7 linked regions of the Mus musculus genome follow. The protein of the gene in region 5 purifies or fractionates together with the protein of the main gene of each other region. This does not show direct contact. Links are inferred from orthologs where the notes say so. Each region holds a gene or a part of one and is shown on either strand. Other genes may lie near its edges.

Region 1 (3,746 bases), on a different chromosome or scaffold from region 5:
GATACAATAGGCTCATGGGCTATGTTTAGCTTCTATTACAATGAAACCCTCTGGGTTTCAAAAAAGGGCTTTCCTTCCCTTCACAGATGCACCTGAACCCCGAGTATGTGCAAGATACGTGCCTGGCTTGCAACACTAATCATGGTCACCTGTAGACTTGTGAGCACCTTGACCCATAGGAATCCACCACGACAACTTTGCAAGGACCTCCTGGGGCTTAGGGACACTATGCAGGACTTCCTGGCTTTTGTCTACCCAGGACCAGCTCAGATCTGCAGGTTGGCTCCCACATTTAAGGACCCACACAAGTGATGTCACACCCTGGCAGGTTGAGTCTCTCATGGCACCGGGGGGAATGAGGAGGGTGAAGTCAGGAGTGTCACCCCCTCTCAGAAGAGGAAGGCAGCCATGTTGTTCTCTCCTAGGTCAGGTTCCTCCCAGGAAGGGCCCCTTGGTGGAACCTTTTGGATCACGTGTTTCCAGGACAATGCTGCTAACTCTGAGGTCAGTGGATTGATGAGATTTTCAAGACGGGAGTGTGCTGGGAGCTGCACTGGCCAGTCCTGTGGTCACCAGGCATGTGGGGCATGGAACATTTGAAATGTGGCCAGAGCAACCCAGGAATAAAACTAAGTTGTTACATGTAGCCAGTAACTACAACTGCAACAGTATTTCATTAGTTGATTTAACCACCTCTACGACCCAAGAATTTTACCCTTATGAAGTCCAGGCCTGTAGAGTTTGAAAAGTCATTGGAGCTAGGCTCTGAGCCCACTGATTTGAGCCTGAGTCTGTATCTTCAACCTCTTGATTATGTCTGAGAAGGCACACAGCCTTGTAGACCTTGAGGAGCGTGTCTCAGACAGTGTGAAGGATGAGGCCAAAGGCTTGTTTCAGTCCCAGCACCTCACACATACCAAAGACCTTTATGATCCCCCTGGGTACAGCCATGCTGCCTATCTAGACCGAACTAAATCATATGTCTCGCCAACACAGGGATGCAGAACACCAAGTAGCCTGAGCGACGGGGAGGTGACATTACCTGGTGATGTCATAGACAAGGAGTGCCCCAGCTGCACCTCTGTAGTAGCTTCTCGTCACAGACCTGAAGGAATGACAGGGGCTTCTAACAATCAAGGCCCTTTACTTCTCCCCATAGAAACCATGCTTCCTTTTGAACCACATAGAGCCAGGACACGCAGGGCGCTCTCTCCAAAACAGGGAGAGCTCTGCTGAGCAGCTCTTTAGGTCACGAGGTTCATGGGTCTGCATGTGGCCCGAATGTCCTGAGCTCTCTGTGGGCAGCAGGCACCAGGAGACCCTCACATCTCTGTCCCCTCCCCCACCCCCAGGTGCCCTATGCTGTTCCCTCCCTTCTTCCCAGGTAAAGCCCAAGACAGGAACAGCCTAGATCCCTGCCAGGGGCCACATTTACTTCGACCTACACAACATCCTTCTTCTCTCCTTGCTCTACTGAGGACTGGGTCTCTGTCCACCTCACATTCTCAAGGAACTGGTTTTTAGTATTTTCTCCCCTGTAAAACCAACTGCTCTCTCCCTGCTAGTTTTTTACACTTGATTGTGTGTATGATGTTGGGGTGGCGCAGGTGGGTGCCACGTCATGTATGTGGGAGTCAGATAACTTTGTGGAGTCATCTCTGTACTTCCACCTTTGCATAGTCGGGAGATGGAATTCAGCCTGTCACGCTTGCCCAGCCTTTAGCTGCTGAGCCATCTTGTTAAGTTTTTATACTAGCAGAATAACATTTGCTCTGGCATCACCTGTGGTCTCACACTCTATTGCCCAGGCTGGCCTTGATCCCCTGGACTAGAGCGATCCTCCTGCCTCAACCTCCAAAGTAGCTAGGACTATGGGTACTACCATACTCTATCCCCAAGTTTAATTAAAAAGTGAAAAGCCTGCGTGTGTGGGAGGGTGGGTGGGTGGGGGTTATCGCTTCTTCCACACTGAATCTTGACTCTGTGACTTGGTGTACTCTGCAGAATGCGTGGCTAAAATGTTCACACCCCACTGTGCATTCATTGTTACAGGATGCTGACCACACAACCTGATTAGCAGTGGTCTGGGGTTAAGTCTTTCTGAGTGCCAGTTGTGTGAACCTGTCCTGCAGGATCCATGGCAACTGTCACAGCCTGCTCCAGTCAGTGTAAAGGGATAAAACCCTCCATGGCAGTTTAAAAATCCCTCATAGACGTGTAATATGGGAAAAAGCCACCTGCCTTGTCTTTGCCTTGATTTTAATCTGAAGGCATACTATAGCCCGGATGGTGCTTCGCACCGGTCATCCTGGCATACAGAGCTTGATACAAGAAGGTCGTGGGCATGAGGTCTACCTAGACTGCACAGCGAGATGCTGGCTCAAAATGCCAAACAGACTGAAACCAAAAGCCAACTACACGGATACCCAGTGCCAGTACCGCATCCTCCTGACCGAGTTGCTACCTCTGAGAGTCTAGTCCCCTAGTGATGGTTTGTTTGTTTTGGTATCTGGGATCCAGTCAGGGCCCTCAGACGTGAGAGCGTCCGGATGGAGCTGCAGATTTTGAGTTACGTGTGCATGCTGGTTTGAGACCACACGCAGTGAAGGAGTTGGGCTAAGCCTTCCAAGTACCATTATCAGTAAATAAGAAGGAAAGCTACCTGAACCGCTCCTGGCCGGCCGTGTCCCATATCTGTAACTTTACATATTTACCACCGACATTTATTATCTTTGAGCCAAATTCCACTCCTATGGTATGATTTGAGTCATCTTTGACTAAAAAGAAAAACAAAGAACAAATAATTACACTTTAGAACCTGACTGCAACAGTTCAAGGTTTAAACAGCAACGTTAAGATAGACCAAGGGCTGGAAAACTAATTTAAAAAAACAGTAAAAAGGGAGGTGTTTGGGGGAGGGGAGGCAGGGGCCTGGCAGGTGAAAAGGCGGGTTGCTTCAACCGCCCATTCTCTAATAGTCAGCTGATGGGCCGTACTAAGCATATGACACGATTTCTGTTTTCACCGAGACAATAGAGTTCCTCTGTCTCCTAACACATGGTATGGCTACTGGAAGAGGCTGCCCTGAGCTTGAGATCCCAGACTGTCTGCCGAGAAGACTTGCACCAGCAGCCAGAAACCTGATGGGAACCGGTCTGCCATGTGGTAGGGCATGTGCCTGGTAACTAGCTGGGCACTTGATCAGCAGCAAGGTGGTCAAGTGTTATTCTGGAGCAGAGGAGACCCCAAAGATAACCTGACCATAGCACTCTGATTGGGGTCTGTCTGGACAAATCTTTTTTTTTTTCCCCATTTGGTTCTTTCCTATGTGTATTACCAAGTGTCCATTAGTTCTAGCAGAGCACAGCAAATGTTTCCGTGGGTTTATTGGAGAAACCAGTCCTATCTCTTCTAAACTCATCTGGGGCATGCCATCAGTACAGGATAGCTGTGAGGAAGCCATGACTTCGAGAGAACGCTGCACCTCACTGGCTGTCTCTCAGCTCAGCTCATGCCTGGACACAGCTTCAGCAACCAGGGGTGCTGCATGGTAATGCTTTTTTAAAAAAAGAATATTTGGATGGACAAGAGGTTAGACAGATAATCCAGCCTGCGCCAGAAAGATTCAAGTGTGTGATCAGGTAGGAAGGACCCCCTCCGGCCCCCCCAGCAAACTGCAGAGGGAGGCCTAAGCAGTAATCCAGGCCGACTAAGGTGAGTAATAAGTAAGGTGAGCAGTAATGGGG
Region 2 (3,746 bases), on a different chromosome or scaffold from region 5:
TCAGTGCTCTGAATGTCCTGTGTAAGTGCTGCTCTATCAAAGTAAGCAAGAGTCACCGCTCCCAGCTTTTCTGTTGGTGTGTCTGTATGTCTGTCCTTCCTTCATTCCCTCATTTGCACCATCAGGTTTCCAGGACCAAGACGGCCATGCTGAATGCAGTGGTCCTAGGCTCAAGCTTCATATCCATAGACAGGCAATGAATAGCCCTGTTTCCCTGTTTTATTTTCACCTGAAAGGTTAGAACCTTTGAAACACACTCACCATGGCTCCTCTATAGTATGCTGTCGTAATTGTTCGGAATCTTTCCTGGCCCGCCGTGTCCCTAAAACGTGAAACAAAGAAAGGAAAGAATGGTTTTAAGTTACCAGCCACACGGGTAAGGACCCGAGTCACAGCAGATAAAATTCTGATCTGCCCACAGTTTACTGAGGCAGGGGAAAGGAGAACGCACACAAAGATGGCACATCGTGCCTTGAGAGCTGGAGGCAGCAGTGGCCACAGGAGCCTGTCAGAACTCACAAAGACTTGGATGAAAAACTCGGACTTGTTATAAAAGCAGCAATGAGATCCCACTAGGAACTGGGCTATGGGAGGAGGCAGAATGGCTCTAAATTCTTGGACTCCCAGAGGCAGCGATAACCTATCTATAAGTGCTACATTAGAGAGCCATTTTGCTTTCTTGACTGCATGGGTGATTTCAGTACAAAGCACACTGCTGAATGACTACATGTATTCTGCTCAGCAGAGCAGAACAAACTATGTCTCTTCTAGAGCACTTTCAGAGCACAGCCTGCAGTTAATTACAGAGGAACCTGGAGTCCAACATCATTCTCCAAGTTTCTAAAGAATAAACATAAACATCTTGGAATTACACAATCTTTCAGCTACCCTTCCTTTTTGAGCTGAGGGCATACCGTTAAAATATGCAGGATTCTAGGATGGGAGTGTGGCTCAATAGTAGGGCACTGGCCTAGCAAGGCCCTAGGTTCAGTCTCTGGCATTAATCCAGGGCTTTGTGAGGGGGAGCACATGTGTGCTTCACACTGACACACTCCAAGAAATACGGGCATTTCTAATTAAATTCATAGCTTCAATCACACAGAAGAATCTCCTTGATATTGGGAGAAAGTCATTTGTTTTAATTTTCCATTTATAGCCGGAACTAATTCACTTCCTGTGATACTAAAATAAACTAAATTATACAATTTAATTGCAAAGAACAGAGAGATTTGTGGAACTATATTAAAGATCTAATATACAGTAAACCCCACCAAAGGATAAAGGTTCAAGGAAATATAGCCAATTAAACAGCAATTATCTTCATATTTATATCTACTTTATAAAATACTTCCAAACATGATGCCTCCACAGCCCAGAGTGAAGTGGGTGATATTATCATCTTTACTCTGTAAAAGATGCAGCAGGCTCAGGAGAACTATGGCCTCATCTTTGCCACTAAACAGCTCTCAGCCTTGAGTGAGACTCAAACAGTGCAGGTCTCAGCTGTTGGGCACCAGGATGAGACTCACACCAAACCCAGATCTTGTTATTCTCTTCCCTATCAGCATTAGAAATGTGACGAACTTATTTTGTGCTCAGCAACAAGGAGGAACAGAGAAACCAAGCACCTTTGAATGGATTAATCATATTTCCTTGACTCAAATACATTACTGATTTAGAAACAGCATATACATGCACACACTTACACACACACACACATATACACACACACACAAATATAATTAAAAAAACCTTTAAGGTTGAATGTGTTTCTCTGAGTTCTGTGATGGAACAGGGGGTGTGAATGGCAGTAACAGGTGACAACTTACTGCTTGCAAGTAGCATCCATATCCGTAGTATATGGCAGTCTGTGGGATTGTGCCCTCGACTTTTGATAGCTGATGCTATCTCTAAGTGAACAGTGCCAGAATTGAGTTAAGTCATGGAACGCCTACATAGTATCGTTTGGAGAACTGCTTAGGGTGGGCATAGAGGGTATGCCAAATACCTTGGATACATTTGGTATCCAAAATGTTTAAATATTTTTTAAAACTCACAGTACTTATTTTTTCCTTATTTCTCCATTAAATAGGCCCTACTTGATAAATTATAAAATAACAGAGCTATCGAACCTTCAATCTCATCAATCCAGGCTCATTTATAAGTGAAAAAAAGGCAGAGCCTGAGAAGGTGCAATGGTTTGGAGAAGTTTCTCCTGCAGGTCTTAAAGGCCTGGTCTTCGGGGCAGTGGAATCTTTGGGGGCTGGGCTGAGTGGGAAGTCCTGAGGTCATTGGGAGCATGTTCTTCAAGTGGATTGTAGGGCCCTGGGCCCTTCCCCATGCTCTGCCAAGCACTCCCTGCCACTGCCACCCAGCCCCTCATCAGAGACCCAAACCAATGGTCTCACCTAATCTAGGTCCAACTGGGAGCCCAAGCAAAGCATCTCTCTTCATAAATGCAGTGTCTCACACGTTCTGTGACACTGTGTTAGGGATGGACATAAAAGCAAGTACTTTCCCCAAAGTCCTCAATTTACAAGGCTGTGGCTTGACTTTCAGACCCAGGCCTGACTTTCAGCCCAGGGTCTGTACCATTTTGCTGTGTCTGAGTCACAGCTGTGACTACAATGAAGGAGTGTATGCTTTTGAGAATCCGTTTTTTTGGTTTTTTTCTTGTCCAGAGCTTAGAACAGACGGGCTCTGGACTTCCTTCCCACTCTGGTTTTCCAAAGGAAAGGTCTGAATGCCTGGATGATGTTTCTAATGTCTTGAGTCACATTTTAACCTTAGACTTCCAATTCCAGGAGATATTCCACAGGCCTTCATTTTTTTTTTTTCTTAACTTACCATATCTGAAGTTTAATTTTCTTTCCGTCGAGTTCTATCGTTCTGATTTTAAAATCAATTCCTGCCAGAAAACAAAAAAGGATATGCTAAGTTCCTTAAATTCAATCCAAGTCTTATTAGGGAGGGAACAAAGATTTCTATTGAAAAAAAAAAAAAGCTCTCCAACGCACTGGAAAATGTGAGCGCACAGAGGGTGTGAATGGCATGTTTCCTCTGAATTCAGGCTGGAGAAAGGAATGCTAGTCACTCTGCAAAGCATTCCCACACATGTGAAGTGCAGGATTACAGGCCTCATTATTTGGGCACAAATGGACCACATCCTTCAGAGTTACATAATTCAGAAGGACTGAGAACATAACATATTTTCTCCTTCCTGAAATACATACACACAATATTTTCAGTCCTAGTGCCCCAACCTTCCCTACAGAAGACTGTAGAGACTCTTTAAAACAATTTTCTTCCCCTCCCTTCATTTATTTTGTTAGAACCTGCCCACTTAGGAAAAAGAAAATGAGACTCTGCCCATTTGATGTCCAGGGAGGGAAAGCTGATTCTATTTTATACAGTTAGCAGGGACTCCATATACATCTCAATTAATGTTCCCTGAGAGTTACTGCCTAGAACTGAAATGGCTAAAATGCTTTTTAGCCCTGGCCACATTTTGGAATTCCAGAGAGAACAACAACAACAACTCTCTTGACTAGGCCTTCCTCCTCCCTAATCCTGAGACTGACTTAGCTGGTTAGTCTGGTTAGCTGGTGATTTTCAAAGCTCCCTGAGTAATTTGAAACTGAATCCAAAGCCCAGCAAGCCCAAAGGGTGACAAGAAAGGGAAAGCATTTAGGACTTTGGCACTTCAAAAGTTGGACATCTCTTCACCTATGCATCCGCAAGCCGTG
Region 3 (4,502 bases), on a different chromosome or scaffold from region 5:
CCTTTGAATCTGGGTTCACACCACATTTTCATAGAAAGTTACTGACAAATGTAAAAGTATTACTAGTGCAGACCTCTCTGAAGACAGAGTAACAGCATAGCCAATGCTCAAACTTCCTTGCCTCATTTGGTGGTGGAGCCAGAAACTGATTCACAACTCCTTTCGTACAAGGACAGCTCTTACAGGGTTAGGATCTCTGAATATGAACCACAACTGACACCAAAAAAAAAAAAGAAGGCAACCAGGAAAGTCACCATGTGGTTGTCAGCAGTCACCTGGAAGACTTCACTAATAAAGCTATTTTTAGAGCGCATGCCAGTTCCACCCTCCTTCCTTTACTCCTGAGGTTCTACCTTCAGTGTAAAACCTGGGCCCCTGAATGGAGGGAACCAGAGAGCCATGGCAAGCAGAGGACACAGGGCTTCTCCAGCATGCATCACTAAGTCTAGCAGAGCGACAGTAAGCTTTCTTGTCAGCTAAAAAGGAAAACCCATCCTCTGCTCCCACATGACAGTGCACTGGACGAAGTGGCATCTAATTCCCTTTGAGAGAGGGCAAAAAATATCATACAACAAAAAGGGAATCACGTTTAGTGCTGGTGGTTACTCTTTAAAAGAGGTGATCAGACTATCACCAGACTATGGCCCTCTCTTACAGGAGCAAACCTAATGCTGACAGAGATGGGGGCTGAGGTTGGCTCAGTTGTCGGACAGACAAGTGTAAGGACCTGAGTACAGATCCCAGGACCCACATTTAAATCAAGAAAAAGAAAAGGAGAGGCAGGCAGATTTCTGAGTTCGAGGCCAGCCTGGTCTACAGAGTGAGTTCCAGGACAGCCAGGACTACACAGAGAAACCCTGTCTAGAAAAACCAAAAAAACAAACAAACAAACAAACAAACAACCCAAAAATGAAGGAAAAAGAAAAAGGGTAGGTTCAGAGGCATCTGCAACACCCTCGGGCACGTGCATGCGTGTGTGCACGTGTGTGCATGCGTGTGTGCACGTGTGCGCATGCGTGCACTCACTGGCTAGCCTGCTAGCAGTGGATAGGCTCCAGGGTCAGGGAAGAGACCCTGTCTTCAAAAAGTAAATAATTAAAAATTAAAAAGGCGAGCAGTAAAGTAAGACACCCAATACCCACCTCAGGCCCACACAGATGCACATGTGCATGCATACACAACACACAAAGAGTTGGCAAATATTTCAAGTAGTTAGCCAGAACAATACACATCTGGATATCTGATTCACCTGAGGGAATAAAATAAAATAAAAACTACTTTTTGCAGAAGCCTCCGATTCTTTCTACATCCGAGTCATTCCTTCCTAAACAGCTCCTGGCTCTGAGACTCATCATTTTACAATTCTCTGAGGACACAACCCAGCCATGCCTTCTTCCCTGAGTCAGGACCCAGTAATGCCTGACACACATGTGGAAGAAAAACATCTCCCAAATGAAGGTGCCAGCCACTTGTCTTCTCCAGCCTCTGCTCACACATGACAGTGCACTGGACGAAGTGGCATCTAATTCCCCTCGAGGGAGGACAAAAATATCATACAACAAAAAGGGAATCACGTTTAGCGATTCCTCTTCTAAACTCATTACATAGGTTTACAGCCCGTAAGTATACCAGGCCGGGTAGCAAACTAAACTATTGACAACCAAGGACACCAAACTTTAGTCTGGCCAGCTTCAGAAGTAGTTATAATTCACTTTCCAGTTCTTACACTCAATTCTGATCCAATATTACCAAGATCGAAGAGAAATATGCCAACAAGAGATTTTATTAACTCAATCATGTGGGTATCAGTTGCTGAAGTCACAAGAAAGAGACAAGAGTTTATTCTTTGGAAAACCAAAAACACAAGATTTTCAACGGTGAAGAGTCAACAGGTTAGGTTGTTGTAGAAATTCTTGTAGAAAGGTGCACACAGTAGGCATGCCAGACCTGACTCAAGGAAAAGAGCTGGCTAAGAAACCTATTCAAATCCAATACATACCTTGCCAGAATTCAAGATCTTCTGGTTTGATGACACTACACTACCTTATATGCCTTGTAATATGCCTTGTAAGTCACAAGTACAAATACAACATGGCTTTAAGGTAGGACTAAGAGGCTCTCAAATGACATCACTAGACAGGAGGTGGAGGGGGGTGCTGATGGCAGATAACAGGTGGCAGGCTTTGGGGGCATCTAAAGTACAAGAGGCCAGAGGCCAGTAAGTGCTAAGTAGTCTAGCTGCCTATGTTTCAACCTCTCACTCTGAAATTTATCAGCGGTGTGACCTTGGTCGAGTGCCTTAGCCTCTCTGTTCTTCGCTTTCTCTGTAAGTAGGCACTGCCTCGGTGCTTCGGAGGGGCTGTTGGGAGAACAGGGCAATTTGTGCGGTCTTGCCACGCAGCCCAGCAGCCGAGAAATCTCAAATCTTCACAACCTTACTCTCAACATCGGCACGATTATGAGCCAGGAGGACATCAGGCCATTTGAAAGGCACTCGGGAGGTCCTTCTTCCCGGAACTTCGGAAACGGGATTTACCCTGCAGGACCCTGAAAGCTCCTGTCTCCCAGTGCCGGCGGCGGGCCGGGGCATGTGACGCGCCTGGCAGCACTGCCTCGGTGGCCGGCCGGCCGGTAGCTCTTCCCACCCAGCAGGTTGCCGGTGGGGACGCGCCCAGCCCGAGGATCCCGTACCCGCCACCCACCGATCGCCGATCGCCCTCCGCCCGCCGGGCGCCGCCCCGCCTGGCCCGGCCCAGCTCGGCGCTCGGCTCGCCGAGGACGCCAGGCCCGGAGGCCCAAGCGGCGGCGGGGGAAGGGCGGCCGGGGCCCGCTGCTCACCGCAGGGTCAACGGAGGAGGAGACACAACGCAGGCCGCAACAGAGACGTCCGATTCCGGCTCCAGCAGGCTCCTCGGAGCTGCCCGGCCCCAAACACCGCCGCCAACGCCGCCGCCTTGGGCTTTATGGTCAAAGCTCCGGCCTTGCTTCCACTTCCGCCACCGCCGCCGCCCCGAGCGGAAGTGTCTGTCACGAGACGCCCGACGCCAGGGTTGGAGGGAGGAGCCCCACCTCCACCTTGCGTCACGTTCCGGTCGCGTCAGGCCCTAGCCTGGCATCTGGGGCTTAAATATGGCCGTTTCTAGATGGGGGCTGCCATCTTTGAAGGCTGTGCAGAAGCTGGAGCGCACCATATTGGGCCAAGAACTGATAATGCAGTGGTGTCCCCCCCCCTCATCCCACCCCGCTCCTATAAACAGAGCTAAAGGAGGGAGAGTCACTTGGTCTTTCCAGAGTGTCCCCCTCTGGAACACGCTAGTCAGTCAGCCATGTATCAGGCAGGGTATAGTCTAGGGTCTTCTGAGTCCACTGGGTACAATCTCTAATGTGGATGGAAATGATCAGTTACAGTGTCCCCAGTGTTGGAGACCCAGTGATGAAATAGGAGCTACCTGTGCAGGGCAGATGGTTCAGGAAAATGGAAAGAGAGCTAAGGAGTTGCTGAACTGAAGAGACATGAGGCTGATTTTAGTGTCACGCCCACCAAAACTAAAACAAAGGCCTAATCCATCAAAGTCCATATCTTTCTGGGGAAGTCTCAAAATGTACTAACCTTGCTTTTTAGCTTCTGTAGTTCTGTTTATGGCTGACAGTTCTTGTTAACTGAAGTATGTCAACCCAGAACATGTTTTTTTGTGTGCTTAAAAGCTCACCCTGAGAAAGACTCAGGTTGTCCTGGGGTATTGAACACCCAGTGCAGTAACCAGCTGCCATTTCTTAGCTTAAACCCATATCTGAGTAGTCTTTTCTGGTGAATACCCCACAACACTAGTACATGTTCTAGCATATAAGGAATAGAGAAGGTTTGTAGGTCCTAAGGAATAGGGGAAAACAAGACCTTTCTGCCAAGATCCTCACCATTTGATATAATAGACACACACACAGGAGTTTGCTCAGTTTCAATCATTAGTTAATTATTACTTGGCCATTTGACTGAATACTTTGAAACTAAGATATGAACAAAGGAAGTCTATGTATATTCATATGCAAAGTGAAATCTTCAAGAAATATGAAGTGACAAAGTAGGGTGCAAAGATGTATATGTGACAGTTCTTGGTTCTTGTTGGGGAAAAAAAAAACACATACTTGCTGGGTACAAATTTCAGCAACTAGTTATCTGGGTTATCTATTAAAATTTGACCGGATAGTAGGACCCATATGAATCTGGTGGTCCAGTCAGACTTTCCACAGTTGTAGGGATGCAGGAAGCTGGTTCAGGCCCTGTCTCTCTACCTCATGTTGGATATAGCATCAGCCTCCACATGGCAGATAGACCAGCAGTTTGGAAGCAAAGCTGCATGTGGCTAAGAGCAGTGATACACTAGACCCAAGGAGGAAAGTGGGAGACAACTATGAGGCCCAACAGGAACTGTGTCTGCTTTTCATCTCTTCTGACTTTAGTTCCCCTAGAGTAACTCACAGAGCAGCCAATGCCCTATTCTAAC
Region 4 (4,542 bases), on a different chromosome or scaffold from region 5:
AAAGCACTTGAAATATAAGCTTAGATTTGGATTCTGGGAAGCACATATGGTGAAAAGGTGAGGACCAAGGTTGTCCCTTTGATCTCCATGAAAATGCTGTGAAATGCACATTCCTTCACACAGGAATACATACACATGCAAACATCACACGCATATACTAAATGTGGGTTATAAGCTTATCAAAAACAAAATATACTAAGGATTTTCTTCCTAAAAAAATCTTTGACCAAAAGCTACACTTAATTTATACTTAATTATAGAAATTTATATTTCCTATAAAATTTGAATTAATACATGGAACACTTGATAATGACAAATTCATTAACGAATATATCCATAAGATCTCCGTGCTATCTGTTTGTTGTTTTAAGACAACGGCTCTCTGTTTAGCCATGGCTGTCCCTGAACTCAGAGATCAATCAGTACATCTGCCTTTGCCTCCTGAGTTCTCTAATTAAAGGTATGCCACACCAAGCCCAGCTCCGTTTTTAAGATACCATCTTCTAGCCTAATCTAGTTACTAGCTTTGAAGAGTTCCTATCTTTACCAATAAATACCAACACATTTACAGATGAAATGTTTGAGCTGCTTCTAACCAACAGCACATAAATAAAACTACCATTTCATCCTGGCATGATGGAGCTTGTCTGTGGTCCTAGAACTTGAGAAGCTGAGACAGAAGCATGCCAGTCAGAAATATTTAGCAAGGCTTGTCTCAAAACAACAGACACAGTGGGCCAAGATTTTAATTCTAGCACTCCAGGGCCAGAAAAAGGTGGATGAATGGCTGTGTGTTCCAAGTTAGCCTGGCCTGCAAAGCATGTTTCAAGTCACCCAGAACTATACTGTGAGAGCTTGTCAAAAGTAATTAAGCAAAATTCCCATTTCTCCCCAATCCATAAAACAAACCAGATTCTGAAGTCTAGTCTCAGCTATGTCAATCTAAGTTTTAATTTTCAAATTTTCTATATTCATTATACCCTAACATTGCACAGCAACTGTTAAGAATTAAATAAGACAACATATCTAGTCTCTGATACAGTGCTTACTAAGTACACAGTGTTTGAAACTGGCAATTAAAATGGCCTCTTGGTGAATTAGTTAATTAATTAATGCTTGTAGATCAATAGACTTCATACAGACTGAAAAAGGCACCAACATACCTTCAGCTTAAATGTTTCTCAATTGTTCCTTACCTATAAAACAGTAAATGACTTATCCAGGACAAAACTTGTTCTGTATTCCTATGGTACTTCCAAAATCTCAGGGAAAACATCGATTCTCACAGAAAATACAAACAAAATTTTGTACTTAGTTTTTAAAAACTGTTTCCTGCCCCACATCCCGATCACATTTTTGAGGGACAGGGACTTGTCGCCTAGGCAAGCACAGGATAGGTTACGGATGGCCTGGACTCCTGATCCTACCTACCTCAGCTTCCAGAGTGCTGGGATGACAGGCGGGGTGCCTTCACAGTCAGTGTCTTTTAAAGTGCAAAGCTACTAAATCTTTTACTTCCAAAGACCTCAAACGGAAATAAGCCCAAGTATAAACCTACACAGGTTGAACATGGTATTAATGTTAAGTGCGAGGGCTGGGGGTGTTCAGTGAAGCTACTGCTCAGTGCACAGAGGTTCTGCACTTATAACTTGTACTTTTATTCCGTCAAAGAAAACTTTTGCATAATATGCATCTCCAATCTTTAAAATAGTTTTTTTATACAGTTAGGAAGTCTTTGATTAAAAAAATTGCACTGAGCCCTTAAATTGTGCCAGGCACTGTTGTGCTGCCTACTTTGTTCACAACCCCACGGGTTCAAATTTTACATTAAGAACGATTCTGGGCAGACCTCAATATTCTGGAAGATGTAACAGTTTTTTTTTTTTTAATTAGTTACGTGCAAGGCAACTGATTCAGAACTTTAAATCCATTTCGGCGAGGCAAAAACTAATATGCCAAGAGTGACAGTCAAAGCTTTAAACTTCTGGAGGCGTTAGGATGTTAACCTGCTCGCACCTTGGCCCGGGCTTCCCACCTCCCACGGAAGGGACCAGAGGATCCCACTACTCGCACAGCCCGGCCAAGCCGGTCAGAGGTAGGCGGAGCTCCCCAATCCCCACCTGCTGGAGGCCTGGGTTCCTGTCTGGAAGAAGCCGAGAAATCAAACCGGGGTGCCGGGGCCAGGAGCTCCGCTGGGCCTGGTGGGCGCGCTCCTGAGCCACCCCCGTCACCCCGGATGCGATCCGGCTCAGTAGCCGGGACAGAGCCCCAAAGACCGGGCTGGAGACCGCCAGGGCCCCAGGCTCTTCCCACGGCGCCATCTTGTGAAGGGAAGAGGGTGCCACCCGCCGCTCCCTCAGAGGATTCCCCACGTCCCAGGCCCCGAAGCTGCTAGAAGAATGAGTCACTAAGCGCTGAGGGCCCGCGGCGGCTTGGAGGCCCCAAGCCCGGCCCGGGACCACAGGGACCCGCCCCGACGGCGGCTTACCTGGGCCGCGTCTCCCGGCAGCGAGGCCACGCACGGCCCGGCCCGGCCCGGAGATCGGATGCGCCGCGGCTGCAGCGGCGGCGTCGCCTGCTCGCTCCTTCTTCTCACCCTGGCCGGCGCGGGACTCTGAGCGCCGCCCGCCGTGCCGCCGCCCCTGCCGGGCTGCGTCTCCGCCTCTCCGTTCCGCCTTCCTTTCTCCTCCTCCTCCAGAGTCGCCGCGCTCGAGTTCCGAGGACTTCTTCCTCGTCGTCGTCGTTCTCCTCCTCCTCCTCCCTCGGTCTCCTCCCCTCAGACCGCCCCGGCTCCTCACGAACCAAAACACAAACACTCGGGCTCCAGCGCAGGAACTGCTTCCGCCGGCTCCGCCACGTAGCCGCACGCAGCGAAGAACGCCGTGACGTCATTTCCGCCGCTGCCCCTCCCAGGAGGCCGGCAGCGGCTTCCTAAGGGGGCGGGGCCGAAGTCACGTGACATCCCCGGGTGCGCTAAGGGAGAATAGTTCGGCCCTCTCTAACGCCTCCTTGATCTGAACCGACATCTTTGGGCTCCGGCTGCAAGGCGAGGCAGGAGCGTCAGGAATGAAGAGGGGGGCGTGGGGTTGCGTCACGTGTCTTCTCCAATTCCCTGGGGCCAGACCTACTCACTTCCTTGCTCTGCCTTCCTCCTCCCCGGGGCTCCACCCTCAGTACCACCATTGTTATCTGGGTGGCGGCGCTCTAAGCCGGCGGGTTGGGAACCCGAGAGGCGTGGGCCAGACCTGCGTTTTATGGGTCTCATCGGAGCTGACAGGGTCCCCACTGCCATTGTCAGCCTGGGTTGTCTTCCCATTGCGGCGATTTTCGGTCTGATGGTTCACTCACAGGCCTCTCACACCACTTCAGCAGCTCAGTAAAGGGGTTTAGGCGAGCGAGGGCTCCTGTGGCTCTGGAAATGCCCTGCTTTTCCGAGAATGGGCGTGTCTGTGATCTCGGAGAGAATTAAGACCCTTAAATTCAAAAGCTGCCTTTAGACAGCAAACCTCAAAAGAATAACTTGCTTTTATTGAGAGTTTACCTGTGTGTGTGGTTTTTTGTTTTGTTTTGTTTGTTTTTTGAGTGAAAAGGAGGAAATCCTAATAATTAGCGTTTATTTGGAATTCCCCATTGAACTAAGTAGTAAACATTTTGGAGTGATCTCTCTCTCTCTCTCTCTCTCTCTCTCTCTCTCTCTCACACACACACACACACCCATTGATAAGCACAGTTGATAAGCACACAGAGTCCTGGCATGTTTGTGGAATGAATGAGGGAGGCAAATAATTTGGCCACGATCACAGGTTAGATATAGTCTAGCCTGCAGCCGGCTCCATAACACTAGTTCTTAAGATTCCAATGAACAGCAGCCCAAGATGTTTATGGCTGCCCACAGCACACCTATTTAAGACGTTCCCTTGATCCGCATAGGTCCAAATACTCCACTCCCCTAAATTCTGGCACTGGTTTCTATCAAAAGAGTCATTCCTTGTCTCTGTCAGAAAGGTTCTGTGGTGCCTATTAGCATACCAAAACACAAGGCTAGCCTTCTGATTTACTCAGTACCTGTGGCTCTTCTCACCCCACTTCCTACCCTAAACTTCTCCAAGTCATGAGCTTCCCTCTTCTAGTTTCTCATTCCCATGTAACCCTACTATTTGACTCTCTCTCTCTCTCTCTCTCTCTCTCTCTCTCTCTCTCTCTCTCTCCCTCCCTCTCCCTCTCCCTCTCTCCTTCCCGCTCCCCTCTCCTGTGGCCTCCTTTGCTCCTTTGTCTTCCTGTCTCACTACCCCATCCCACCCCATGGCCATGTCCAGTCTACACTTTTCTCTCCCAGCTCTGGATTTTTCCAGATGCCTCTGGCTGTACTTTCCCTCATACCTACAACAAAACCCTTCCTTCCCTTCAAACAAGCATGCCTTTGAGTAGTCGTGGCCTCAGTTTATACATCTGGCACTACAAACTTCCTTTATACACAAACCACACGGACATGAATGCTTTGATCAAATCCACCCTTCCAATTTCCTTTCCCCCAAATACTCT
Region 5 (3,746 bases):
GCCTCCTGAGTGCTGGGATTAAAGGCGTGCGCCACCAAGCCTGGTTTATCTTTACTTTTAATCTATGTTTTTGCCAGCAGTGGATATTGAACCTATGTTCAATTTCCCAGCTGAGCCATCTCACAGGCTCTATAGCTTGATTTTGCATGTCTAGAAAACTAATCTTTATCACCTTTTCATGAGCCATTTGTAATTTTGTGTTGTGATTGTCCAAGTCTTTTGCCTAGTTTTAAAGATTTGGGTAGTTTTTTGTTTTTGTTTTGGGGGTCATCTTGATGTTCCAATCTTTTGTCAGACCCGACGTACTACAAGTATTTTCTTCCAGTTGGTGGCTTGCCTTTTATAAGAAGTTTTACATTTTGTAAAGCTCACTATGTCAAACTTATTTTACATGTGTTTTGAGAACTATGAAATCTTTGGGTAGCCCAAGGACACAAAAGGCTGCTTACAACAGTTTTGCCTTTTCATGTAACTGTAACTGTTCTCATTCACTTTGAATGAGTTGATGCATAAGTGTTGGAGGGCTTGGGCCTCTCCCCAGGGCCCTGGGATGTAGTTATTCTAGCTGTGTTTGTGTGTGTGTGTGTGTGTGTGTGTGTGTGTGTGTGTGTAGCTGTGGGTTTTTCTCTTCTGTCAGTGATCTGGCTTTCCAGTTTTCTTCAGTTTTTGACAGTCTTGCTCTTTGATTATTTAGATTACTTTTAAAAGAGCCAAAATCAGAATTTTAGGTCATGATTTCTTTGGCTACTTGGTCACAGTTTGCTCACATGAGCAGTAATCTCTCATGTGCGGTCCTTGGAGTTAACCGTGTTTCCTGAGGTTGGATGATGTATTTTCATTTGTCATAAATTTCATCACGTTTTTGGGTCCCCCTTTTTTTATATAATACTGGGAATTGATCCCAGGGCTTTACTATAGGTTACGCAAGATTTCTACCATTGACTTATTCCCTTTCTGTGTGGTTCTTTTTTATATGAAAGAAAAAAGAGCTGCTTTCCTCTTGTGTTCCCAGTAATCTCTCCTGGGTTTTCCTTGCCCATTCAGTCCTCCTCTCCCACAGAGACCACATTCTACTTTGATATGGCACACATGTACATTTTTTATCTATTAATATGTCACATTATGTATGAAATATATGTATGCACATCTAAGTCCTCTGTTTGATAACTGTGATTTAAGTCTCTATTTTGCTTAACATGATTTTCAGATCTCTTTTTATACTGATACTTACATTTTTATCTACAATCTGTCACCCTTTTTTGCCTTTATTTACCTCCCAATATCTCCTTTCTTCCCACCTCTCAAATCCTTTCTTCCCAGCAATTCTGTCTCATACTTTCATATCCTGTTTGTTTATGGCCCACTACCTTTAATTAGTAGATACTATAGTTCATCTAGATTTAAGAAGGGAGATTTTAGCGGGGCGGTGGTGGCGCACGCCTTTAATCCCAGCACTTAGGAGGCAGAGACAGGTGGATTTCTGAGTTTGAGGCCAGCCTGGCCTACAAAGTGAGTTCCAGGACAGCCAGGGGTATACAGAGAAACCCTGTCTCGAAAAACGGAAAAATGGGGGGGGGGGATTTTTAACAGTTCTTATAATTGTGAATATAATTGATGAAAAAAACTTTTTTAGGTTAAGTGCCATATATGGAGGTACCTACATGTTGAATAAACCAATTGAAGAAATCATTGTGCAAAATGGAAAAGTGGTTGGTGTAAAATCCGAAGGAGAGGTAAGTAACTATTGTGAAAAAATGTGCTAAACAATGTGGTGTGGACATTGATATTACATGTTGGATATACACATGTGTGCTCTCTGGGTCTGTCTGATTGTTTAAAGTTCTTTTTTTTTTTAACTACAGTTTTTTGTTCTTCCTTCTATATCTTCCCACAGGTGTCTTTAGGAAGCTTCAGGGTTTTGATACAAAACCGAAGTGGCTGTAATACATTTGTTGCATAACTAAGTCTTAAGATGATGGCATCATCTGTTTACAGTGCTGTGCCATACTACTCCCTGCTAGCACACATATGGCAATCTAATAATGATCTCTTGAATTACTTCTGATTACCTTGCAACTGCCCAGGGAAACTTATTATTTGCAAAGCTCATTTAAATGCTTACCTGTATTTCAATAATTATGAACTTATTATGAAGAGATATAGTTGTTGGCTTGGAGATTGGTTTTGGTGGTGCTTGGGGTAGAATCTAGGACCTTATACTATGTAGACTCAGTCCAGTATTGTTTTAAAAGAAAAAAGTATAAACACTGGTTAAATTATAATTTAGCCAAATAGTTATTTTGAGTAACACTCCAGCGAGCACTGGTGTACAAATAACTATTTTCAAAACTTGCCGTCAGTTCTTTTGGTTTATATTTCAAGAGGCTGAACTGCTGAATTAAATAGTAATTTTGTTTGTTTGTTTGTTTGTTTATTGATTGAGAAATTGCCATGCTGTGACATCAACCGTATTATGTTCCATTCTCATGAGTGTGCAAACCCTGCCATCACGTTCTGTTTTGGTAGTAGGCATCTTAATAGGGGTCTTATGTTTTTAATTTGCACATTACTGGTGCTTTTAGTGATGTGCTATTTAGCTATTCTTTACCCTTTGTTTTTGTTTGAGGCCAGCTTTCTCTATATAGCTCCGGCTGTCCTGGAACTTGCTTTGTAGATCAGGTTAACTTCAAACTCTGAGATCTACCTGTCTCTGTCTCCTGATTGCTGGGATTAAAGGCATTGCCATCACTGCCGGTCTGTCCATTGATTTTACTCGGGTCTTTTTTTAAAATTTTTATGAATTTTAGCACTTCTTGATAATACGTTGACTATTACTCCCTATCAGATATATTATTTGCAAATATTTTTTGTCATGTTTCCTTTTCTTTTAACTGAATTAAAAATTTAATACATACTGATATACACAAATGTGTCTTTGATGTGCTAAAATTTCACGTCATAATAAATGAAGCTTTTACCTTATATCTCCTCTCTTCAGAATTTTTGGAATTTTAGTTCTTTATGTTTTGGGTTAAGTTTTAGATTTTGTTAGGGTATTAATAATAGTTTTACAAGGGCAATGTTTTTTTTCTGTGTTTTTGGATCTCATGCAGGTAGCCCTTGCTGACCTAAAGTATAAACAGTTTGTCCTCTAAATTCTGTTCTACCTCTAAGTGCTGAGATTACAGGTGTGCACTACAAGTTTTTTAAATTTGCCATGTCCCAGAACTGGTTTGTGAAAAACCACTTGAAAGCATGCACATTTATTTCTAGCTTCTCTTCTCTGTGTGCCAATACCAGGTACCACACTGTATTGACTGCTGTAGGCTTTAAGGGAGTCCTTAACATGTGTTCTTTTTTCAAGATTGTTTTATTGAGTTTAGTCTTTAGGGTTCAATATACATTTCAGGATTGATTTAGAGAGCTTAACTTTCTCCATGAATTTAGGACATACATATTGCTATGTTTCCACATCTTTACAATGACCCTTTAAATGTTTTGTCACAGATTGCTCGCTGTAAACAGCTCATCTGTGATCCCAGCTATGTAAAAGATCGGGTTGAAAAAGTGGGCCAGGTAATCAGAGTGATCTGTATCCTTAGCCACCCTATCAAGAACACCAACGATGCCAACTCCTGCCAGATCATCATTCCACAGAACCAAGTCAACCGCAAGTCAGGTGAGTTTTGAAGGACAGATGAGGGTAGAATTTGTGAACTGTCTTAGTGTTTTCATCCAGATTTCCT
Region 6 (4,288 bases), on a different chromosome or scaffold from region 5:
AGAGTCAAGTATGAGCTGGACTAAGAATTGTCAGAATTTTGTTCATTTTCTTAGCTTACTTTATTCAAATCTTGTGTCAAAACATCAAATGTTTTTATATCAAAATGTATAAATGTCAGAGGTTATTGTATAATTGTTTAGCAGAGCACCAACAGATATTCAAGCAGCCATTACACACAAGACATATTCAATCCATAAAGCAACTTATTCTGTCACACACCAGTATCAGGAAGGCCATATATTCTGCACAAATCTGCACTGTGTTCCTACAAAGTACCTGGCACCATTGTTAGGTGCTTTGCTCTCGCTGACCTGTATTAATCCTCACAAGCACCATACATGGCATTTGCACTGTCGAATAAGACACTGTAGCCAAAGTTGCAATTCCTGTGGAGCCAGGAATTCAAAACAGCAGGCTGCATGGGAAACAACCCATCTCCCTAAGTCAAAGGACAATGAAGACTATGGATACAAGGAGGACTGGAGGTGTAACTCAGCAGCTTGCCTACCACGCATGAGGTTAGTCAATGCCCAGTACCTGAGGACAGGCAGCTGGGGGGCTAAGTAGCTTTCTTCACCAGGAAACTTTACTTCCTACTTTCACCTACCCGTTCTCAAGAGCAGGTTAAAAAAAAAAGGATCGCACACTAAATTCTCTTTCAAAGAGGCTACCTCTCCTCTGATCCAATTCATACTTGTCTTTCAGACTACGTTTTAAACATCCATGCAAAGCAGATTCCCCATAATTCAGACTACTCCCCTTCCTCCCTCTCCTCACTCTAGTGCTTTGCACACTGTTGTTGCCTTCTTTATCAGAATGCTCAAGGGGTCTATTGTATCGACCACTTATTTTCAACGCTTTTAACAGTGCCTAGAACTTGGTGCTCAATAAATATTTGCTGATCTAGCCACCTGACTGACCCAGCTACACTTCAAAGCAAACTTAGTGCTGTGTAAGTGCTAACCCACTAAGCAGAGGACAAGTTCAAGCTTCGTGATATTTTGACAATCCTGCCCACCAGTAAGGTAAAACAACCTATTTTAAATAAAAATTTGCTCATCTTAATTGCAGTATAACTTAAGCATATTTTGCGAAAATATGCTTAAGCTACTTACAAATATGTCTTAAGGAAATCCTATACTATAAATTGGTTAAAACAAGATTTTCACAATTCTTAAGGAAAACCACTAGAGTCGCTTCTCATCGTGAAGCTAGTTACATTTATCACAAGTTTTCCTGCACTGCTCTAATGCCGGAGCTGAGGTTCAAAAATGAAAGACACCGGATACTTTAAAAAACCAGGGAGGGGGGTGGTCATGTACAGTTACTTTGACAAAATTGATGTTGGTGCCAGCGTCAAAACGACTTTCTTGAAACCTTCCCTTTTCATTTCCGAAACAGGAAACCCATTTAAAAGGTCAGTTTTTATTTCCATACCAAGTAATTCCGAAATATGTGGTAGTACATTAGAAGTCCTTAGAGCCATGACTGACGAAAGATTTTCCTGTAAATTCTAACATCAAGTAAAACATTAGAACTTGACTTGATTCCATTGGGTTGAAAACAGAAACCGTCCATCTGCTTCGTTGAGGTCTTGAAAAAGCACTGTGAGCCAACCATGCCAGATTCCCACCCCAAGCACGAAGGGCCTCCGATTGTTTGACACATCAATGGTTCAGTCAAGACAGCCAACTCACTTTCCCCCGCCCCTCTCATTTTCCTTAATGATTCTGCAACTCTCAAGTTTACTCCAAGTTACAGTCAGATAGAATATTTTCTCTTTGACCCCCAATTCGGGCCTTTGCCACATAGCCAGTACTGCTTCAATCCCAACCACTAAATTACGTCTATTACAAATAGCACATCAAGTAACTTCATGCAATTATGGTAAGGCCAGGCAAGTCACTTAAAGAAACCGGATTCTGGAACGCTGCTAAATGCTGCATATTTTGTGCCAGAAGGCACCGAACAGAGAAGGAGACTTGAGACCGGATGGTAAGCATGGGAAGACCCCGCCCCAGTAAGGCTATTCCGATTCCAACAGTAACTTAGGTCTGTCGTCTGGAATCGGAATCACTGGAACAAAGGCGTAAATTCCGGGAAGCAAGATGTCTGGAATAAAAGAAAACGGCTCGCGGCTACAGAGCCCCCACACCATCCTCCCACAGGTCTTACCTATGGTGGAAATAAAGGTGGTATTGAAGGCATCGTCCGAAAAACGAAAAAGGACGCAGGTCTTGCCCACTCCCGAGTCCCCGATCAGGAGCAGCTTGAAAAGCAGGTCGTACGTCTTCTTCGCCATTGGGAGGAGCGGCTCGGGCGCTCGCCGCCGGTAGCCCCAAGGGATCGGAACTGCTCACTACAACCAACTCCTCACCCGGGCGTTCTGGGGCCGCAGCAGCCGGGTAGCGTGTGCGGAAGGAGAAAGCAGCTCTCGAGACGGAGCAGGAGACCTTCCGAACGGCCTCGTCGAGGAAGCCCCGACGGTGGCGGCGCCCGTGCCTCCGAGGGGCGGCGCCCGCGGCTCCGCAGCCTCTCCCAGCCGCTCCGCCCGGTTCCGGGGAGTCGGTCGGGACAAAATGGCCTCCCCTCCCCCCTCAGCGCAGCTCGGCCGGGACGCTCCCACGGGCGGACGAGCGAGCTCTACGTCGAGGGAGCGCGGCGGGCTTGAACACGGCCTCCGCCCGGAGCAGAAACCCCGCGCTAGGACACGGGCGAGGGCAGCGGGAGGTCTCGCGAGCCGACAAGCCCTGCTACATAACCCCAGGAAACAGAGCCGCCCCGGCCAGAGCCACCTTTTTCCCCGTGCCCTCTCACGCCGGCGTGCGCGCAGCCTGAGACGCACGCAAGGACGTACACCCGCCCTTCTCTCGCGCCCTCGCCCCTGCGGCCCGCCTCTGCGCACGCGCGCGGGCGGGCAAGTAGGGCACGCGGAGGCGGGACCAGAGGGGGCGAGGCCGCGGGCGCGCTCCCTACGGCCTCCTGATTGGGTGAGCGGCTTGACGAACACGCCCCGCGGGGGAGGTGCGGCCCGGGAACTGCGCAGGCGCACTACGTCCGTATAGCTCCTGCCCTCCCTCCCTTGCCTTTTCCGGGGCGCCCAGCTGACTGCTGGAATCCTCTACTCCCTCTCAGTATCCTGTTGAGGAGCTAAGGATGTTAGCCCAGCGACGGGCGTGGCTGGCTGTGTGTGTGTGTGTGTGTGTATAGTTCATATAGATGAGAGAGAAAGAAGTGCTCTGGGCCACTCAGGAACCTCCTTACTAAACCCGGACATCTCCAGAAGAGATCCCGCTTGTGGGCTGGTCCTGACAACCTGGTCTCCTTAAGAAGCTAGAGTTGATAGAGCCGGGATTCCAAACTGAAAAAGGCGCAGCGCTCCTGGGGTTGGAATGATGTCATCGGCCTGAGGAACCCCGGGTGCGGGGAGAACCTCCCTGCGAATGGAAGCTTCTTTGCTGCTTCGGGCCTAAGCAGCCCTTGGAATCCCGGGAGCTGAAGCGCTCTATTCAGAAAAGGCGGGCGGTCACTGTAGCCAAAGTTGTACCACCAAATCGAAAATCTGAAAGCCTGCCCCATCCCAACCGATCTCTTCCTTGCTTTTCACTTGTTTGTAGGTTGGTTGTTTTGTTGCAAAGTCTGTACACCAGTACTGACTTCCAATTCATGAATCTCCAGTCTCAGCCTCCTGAGGGCTACTCTGGTGGGGTAACTCCACCACACCTGTGCCATGTCTTTTCTCTAGTTTTGTCCCTTTTCCCTCTCTCCCTATCAGTTTTATTTACACCTCCCTTTTCTTCCTTTCTATAGTCGAAATAAGCAAATTTCTAACTTACCTTTCTAAGTATGCTCCAGCACCCGCAGAATGTGATGGTAGAATGGTTGAACCTGATGAGCTGATTCACCAATAAGGAGATTTTTATTTAGGTAAATTTTATATACACACACACATAACTAATTAGCATATAACAAATATATAAGCATATTAAATAAAAATAAGCTACACTTTGGCAGACACCTCGCCATCACCAACATGTGCATTTCATGTGTAAGTAAAGCCTTTGATCATGTTCTTTTCTGACCATCTTAGATGTGATCATGCTCTTCAAAGACTTGTCCTCCTTCTAAACACCCATAAGCCTTTGAAGGTGTTTGTGTTCTCTAAACCATCTCCCAGTTGATTCTCTGATTGGTTTTAGTTTTCTCATTAAACTATATCCTCCAAATCATTCTTCCTCCAGCTGGGACTGTCGTGCTGTATCATGAATCAACAATTCTATTAAAAGT
Region 7 (2,891 bases), on a different chromosome or scaffold from region 5:
CCAGCACAGCCACTCACCCCAATGAGCCCAGTGTTTGTGCACCTCCAGAACATGCAGACCTGGAAGCCCGTTCCTGGTACAACTTTCGGACAACTAAGCCCACTATAGCCACATTCTGTACTCCCGTCTCCACAGAGTGCTGGCTCAGGGGGATACAACTGAGGTCCTAATGTAAAGCAGCGCTTGTCAAAGCTCAGGATAGCTGGCATCTGGCTTCAAGCCACAAGAGGGGACTAAAGTCGGGGACTGGAGGAGGGGAAGACTAAATGCAGGGGGACCAACGCCTGCTCCTTGCTTCTAACTTCATGCCTTGAACGCCTGTCCCAGTGGATGTTGGTGGCTCACCTGACGGCCTCCTGCCAGCCTCCCTCTGACAGATTCATGCTGGGCCCTTGGGGACATCCCATAGCCGCACAGCAGGCTTTCCCAGCCCCAGTATGTGGGTCAAGGGCTTTTACCAGCAAGCTTAAGATACAGTCCAAGCCAGGACCCCCCATGCATCACACCAAACTCTGGACTCCAGTTCCACCCAGCAACTCAAAGCTGACTCTGACCATAGACCACACTCAGTCACCACCGCTTCCTTGCAAAAACCCTTGGCTTATCCAAGGGCCAGTGGAAATTTATTTTTTCATCCTTTTCCATCTTCCCCCAAGTGGCTTTTCCTTGCAAGATGCCTGATGTGACATCAGAGGGGAACCTGGGAGAAGAGGCTCCCTCCCAGAGGGGCAGCCCAGGGACTTAAATACACACTGGAGGGGGAGGACAGGTTGTAGGGTGAGACTGGCAAGAGACAGCACAAAGGACATGGCTTCTTAGGTAAAGACCAAAGGTTTTCTACAGGAAGCTGTGCCAGAGGGTGGGGGCCAGGATTCTGAGTTGGGAGGGGGAAGAGCCCCACAACCCCAAGCTGCACCCACATTCCCCAGAGAAGCAGGTCTGGCCCTGTCAGGCTCTGAGGAATGGAGGAAGAACAAGCCAGATGTGCTGCCTCGGAAAAGGGAGGTGGTGCTGGCAGAGTGAGGGTTAAGGCTGGTGCCCGGCCTTTGGCAAGGTGGGCCTTCCGCCTCCGCTTTCCTCAGGGACAAAGGGGCTCGGTGGGCAGGCAGCACATGGGCCTGGCTCAGGCAGGGCAGGGGGAGGCAGGAGCAGGCTCCCTCCCGGCTTGAGACACAGGCCCCGCAGCCATCCGCCCACCTACCCTAGATGTGCTCAAGACCTAACCGCAGCTGGACGGCTCAAGCTGTGTGGGAGCGATGGAGTGAGGCAGAGATGAGGAAAAGGTGGCTATGGGGCTCTCGCAGCCCTGGCACCTGTCCTGAGGTCCGATGCAGGACCCTGGATCTGAGGCCCTGGATCCCCTGGCTACTGCCTGCACCCAGGGGCAGCAGAGGCAGGGAGGCCCTTGCTATTGGGAAGAAAGGAAAGAGAAACCCAGTGCAGCATACATGGGGGTGAGTGACAGACAGCGGAGCCCTCATTCCAAAGAAAGGTGCGTGGTGGGCATCTTTTCAAGGTACCCAGAGGCAGCAGCGGAGCTGTCCCTGTGACCACCCCAGCCACAGGCTCTGCATGTCCTCCACGGGGGCCCTGACAGGACTGGGACTCAGAGCAGAAGGCAGATGGGCCAGAGGAAGATGGGGAGCCCAGGACACCCCAAAGCTACAGACTCAAATGCCCTAGGAGAGGGAGGCACTTCCTGCCCGCTCCAGGGGCATCATCTGGACAAGGTGCCCTCCCCCAAGTGCCCCTCCTAGCAGCAGCCACCGCTAGCAGGCTTCACAGGGGTGCTGTCGATCTTCAGGTTGGGCCGTTCACCCCCAGACGCTGCTCCTGGCCCCATCCGCTTTTTGATCTCTGCAGCCATTGTCATGAATGCCTGCTCAACATTGGTGGCATTCTTGGCACTTGTCTCGAGGAAGGGGACACCCAGAGAGTCTGCAAATTCCTGCGAAGGGAAGAAGAGAGAGAGGGGAGCAGGGAGAGAAGGGGTGAAGGCATGTGGGCCCCAGACCCCTGACAGCCAGGGCAGGCCTGCTCACCTTGGCCGTGGTGTTGTCCACGACCTTCTTGGTGGTGAGGTCACTCTTGTTGCCTACCAGGAGTTTATTGACATTCTCACTGGCGTAGCGATCTATCTCCTGCAGCCACTGTTTCACGTTGGCGTAGGACTCCTAGGCACAGTGTCCAAAGTTACTGCACACCCACACCCAGGTCAACCCAGGTCTAGAGAACAGGACTCCTTTGAAAGGCAGGCCCCGAGCACGGGGATTCTGACAAAGTCTCTCCCCCACCCCAAGCCCAGGTTTAGCTTTCCCCTGGTTCTCTCCCATGCGGAAACCTGAAAACCAGAAGCAGAGTGGAGTAGTGCCTGCCAGTGGCCATCACCTCAACAGCCGCCTGCACCTACAGTCATTGCTGCTTCCTGCAGTTCTTTCTCCCTAACCCTCTCCTGGGAAGCCAAGGACATCAGAAGAAAGGCAGGTGACACCAGGCATGACTGATGCAGGAAGATCACAGGTTTGAGACCAGCCTAGGGTCTCAATGAGACCCTCTCAATGAGACCTTCTCAAAATAAAAGGAAAAGGGGGGCTTGGAGAGATGGCCCAGTGGTTAAGAGCACTGGTTCAACTCCCAGTACCCACAAGGCAGCTTACAACTGTCTGTAGCTCCAATTCCAGGGGATCTGACACCCTCACAGACACACATGAAGGCAAAACCACCAATGCATATAAAATACAAATAAGTCATTAAAAATAATGAAAAGGAGGCAAGCATGGTGGTGCACGCCTTTACTCCCAGCACTCAGGAGGCAGAGGCTGGTGAAGCTCTCAGTTGCCAGCCTGGTCAGTTCTAAGACAGCCAGAGCTACACAGAAAATGCCTTTTCAA

The links.
Region 1: the proteins of Gdi2 (region 5) and Rab4a purify together in Homo sapiens (co-immunoprecipitation; 3 studies listed by BioGRID and IntAct, with this or other methods). This does not show direct contact. The link is inferred for Mus musculus from reciprocal best matches to the Homo sapiens genes GDI2 and RAB4A.
Region 2: the proteins of Gdi2 (region 5) and Rab8b purify together in Homo sapiens (affinity purification with mass spectrometry; 3 studies listed by BioGRID and IntAct, with this or other methods). This does not show direct contact. The link is inferred for Mus musculus from reciprocal best matches to the Homo sapiens genes GDI2 and RAB8B.
Region 3: the proteins of Gdi2 (region 5) and Rab7 purify together in Homo sapiens (affinity purification with mass spectrometry; 3 studies listed by BioGRID and IntAct, with this or other methods). This does not show direct contact. The link is inferred for Mus musculus from reciprocal best matches to the Homo sapiens genes GDI2 and RAB7A.
Region 4: the proteins of Gdi2 (region 5) and Rab5a purify together in Homo sapiens (affinity purification with mass spectrometry; 3 studies listed by BioGRID and IntAct, counting the BioPlex papers as one, with this or other methods). This does not show direct contact. The link is inferred for Mus musculus from reciprocal best matches to the Homo sapiens genes GDI2 and RAB5A.
Region 6: the proteins of Gdi2 (region 5) and Rab10 purify together in Homo sapiens (co-immunoprecipitation; 3 studies listed by BioGRID and IntAct, with this or other methods). This does not show direct contact. The link is inferred for Mus musculus from reciprocal best matches to the Homo sapiens genes GDI2 and RAB10.
Region 7: the proteins of Gdi2 (region 5) and Rab1b purify together in Homo sapiens (affinity purification with mass spectrometry; 3 studies listed by BioGRID and IntAct, counting the BioPlex papers as one, with this or other methods). This does not show direct contact. The link is inferred for Mus musculus from reciprocal best matches to the Homo sapiens genes GDI2 and RAB1B.

Annotation. Positions count from the first base shown.
Region 1 is NC_000074.6:123,826,355-123,830,100, reverse strand, and holds part of Rab4a (ras-related protein Rab-4A), read right to left. Parts: intron 2,778-3,746; coding exon 2,663-2,777; intron 1,106-2,662; coding exon 1,043-1,105; intron 655-1,042; exon of another isoform or gene 87-654; intron 1-86. UniProt on the Homo sapiens protein: The small GTPases Rab are key regulators of intracellular membrane trafficking, from the formation of transport vesicles to their fusion with membranes.
Region 2 is NC_000075.6:66,860,576-66,864,321, forward strand, and holds part of Rab8b (ras-related protein Rab-8B), read right to left. Parts: intron 2,909-3,746; coding exon 2,848-2,908; intron 323-2,847; coding exon 262-322; intron 1-261. UniProt on the Homo sapiens protein: The small GTPases Rab are key regulators of intracellular membrane trafficking, from the formation of transport vesicles to their fusion with membranes.
Region 3 is NC_000072.6:88,042,235-88,046,736, forward strand, and holds the start of Rab7 (ras-related protein Rab-7a), read right to left. Parts: upstream 3,037-4,502; 5' UTR 2,839-3,036; intron 2,784-2,838; exon of another isoform or gene 2,703-2,783; intron 1-2,702.
Region 4 is NC_000083.6:53,477,555-53,482,096, reverse strand, and holds the start of Rab5a (ras-related protein Rab-5A), read right to left. Parts: upstream 2,864-4,542; 5' UTR 2,489-2,863; intron 1-2,488. UniProt on the Homo sapiens protein: The small GTPases Rab are key regulators of intracellular membrane trafficking, from the formation of transport vesicles to their fusion with membranes.
Region 5 is NC_000079.6:3,558,359-3,562,104, forward strand, and holds part of Gdi2 (rab GDP dissociation inhibitor beta), read left to right. Parts: intron 1-1,633; coding exon 1,634-1,733; intron 1,734-3,507; coding exon 3,508-3,679; intron 3,680-3,746. UniProt on the Homo sapiens protein: GDP-dissociation inhibitor preventing the GDP to GTP exchange of most Rab proteins. By keeping these small GTPases in their inactive GDP-bound form regulates intracellular membrane trafficking.
Region 6 is NC_000078.6:3,307,116-3,311,403, forward strand, and holds the start of Rab10 (ras-related protein Rab-10), read right to left. Parts: upstream 2,855-4,288; 5' UTR 2,304-2,854; coding exon 2,177-2,303; intron 1-2,176. UniProt on the Homo sapiens protein: The small GTPases Rab are key regulators of intracellular membrane trafficking, from the formation of transport vesicles to their fusion with membranes.
Region 7 is NC_000085.6:5,098,625-5,101,515, forward strand, and holds the end of Rab1b (ras-related protein Rab-1B), read right to left. Parts: intron 2,175-2,891; coding exon 2,043-2,174; intron 1,949-2,042; coding exon 1,754-1,948; 3' UTR 583-1,753; downstream 1-582. UniProt on the Homo sapiens protein: The small GTPases Rab are key regulators of intracellular membrane trafficking, from the formation of transport vesicles to their fusion with membranes.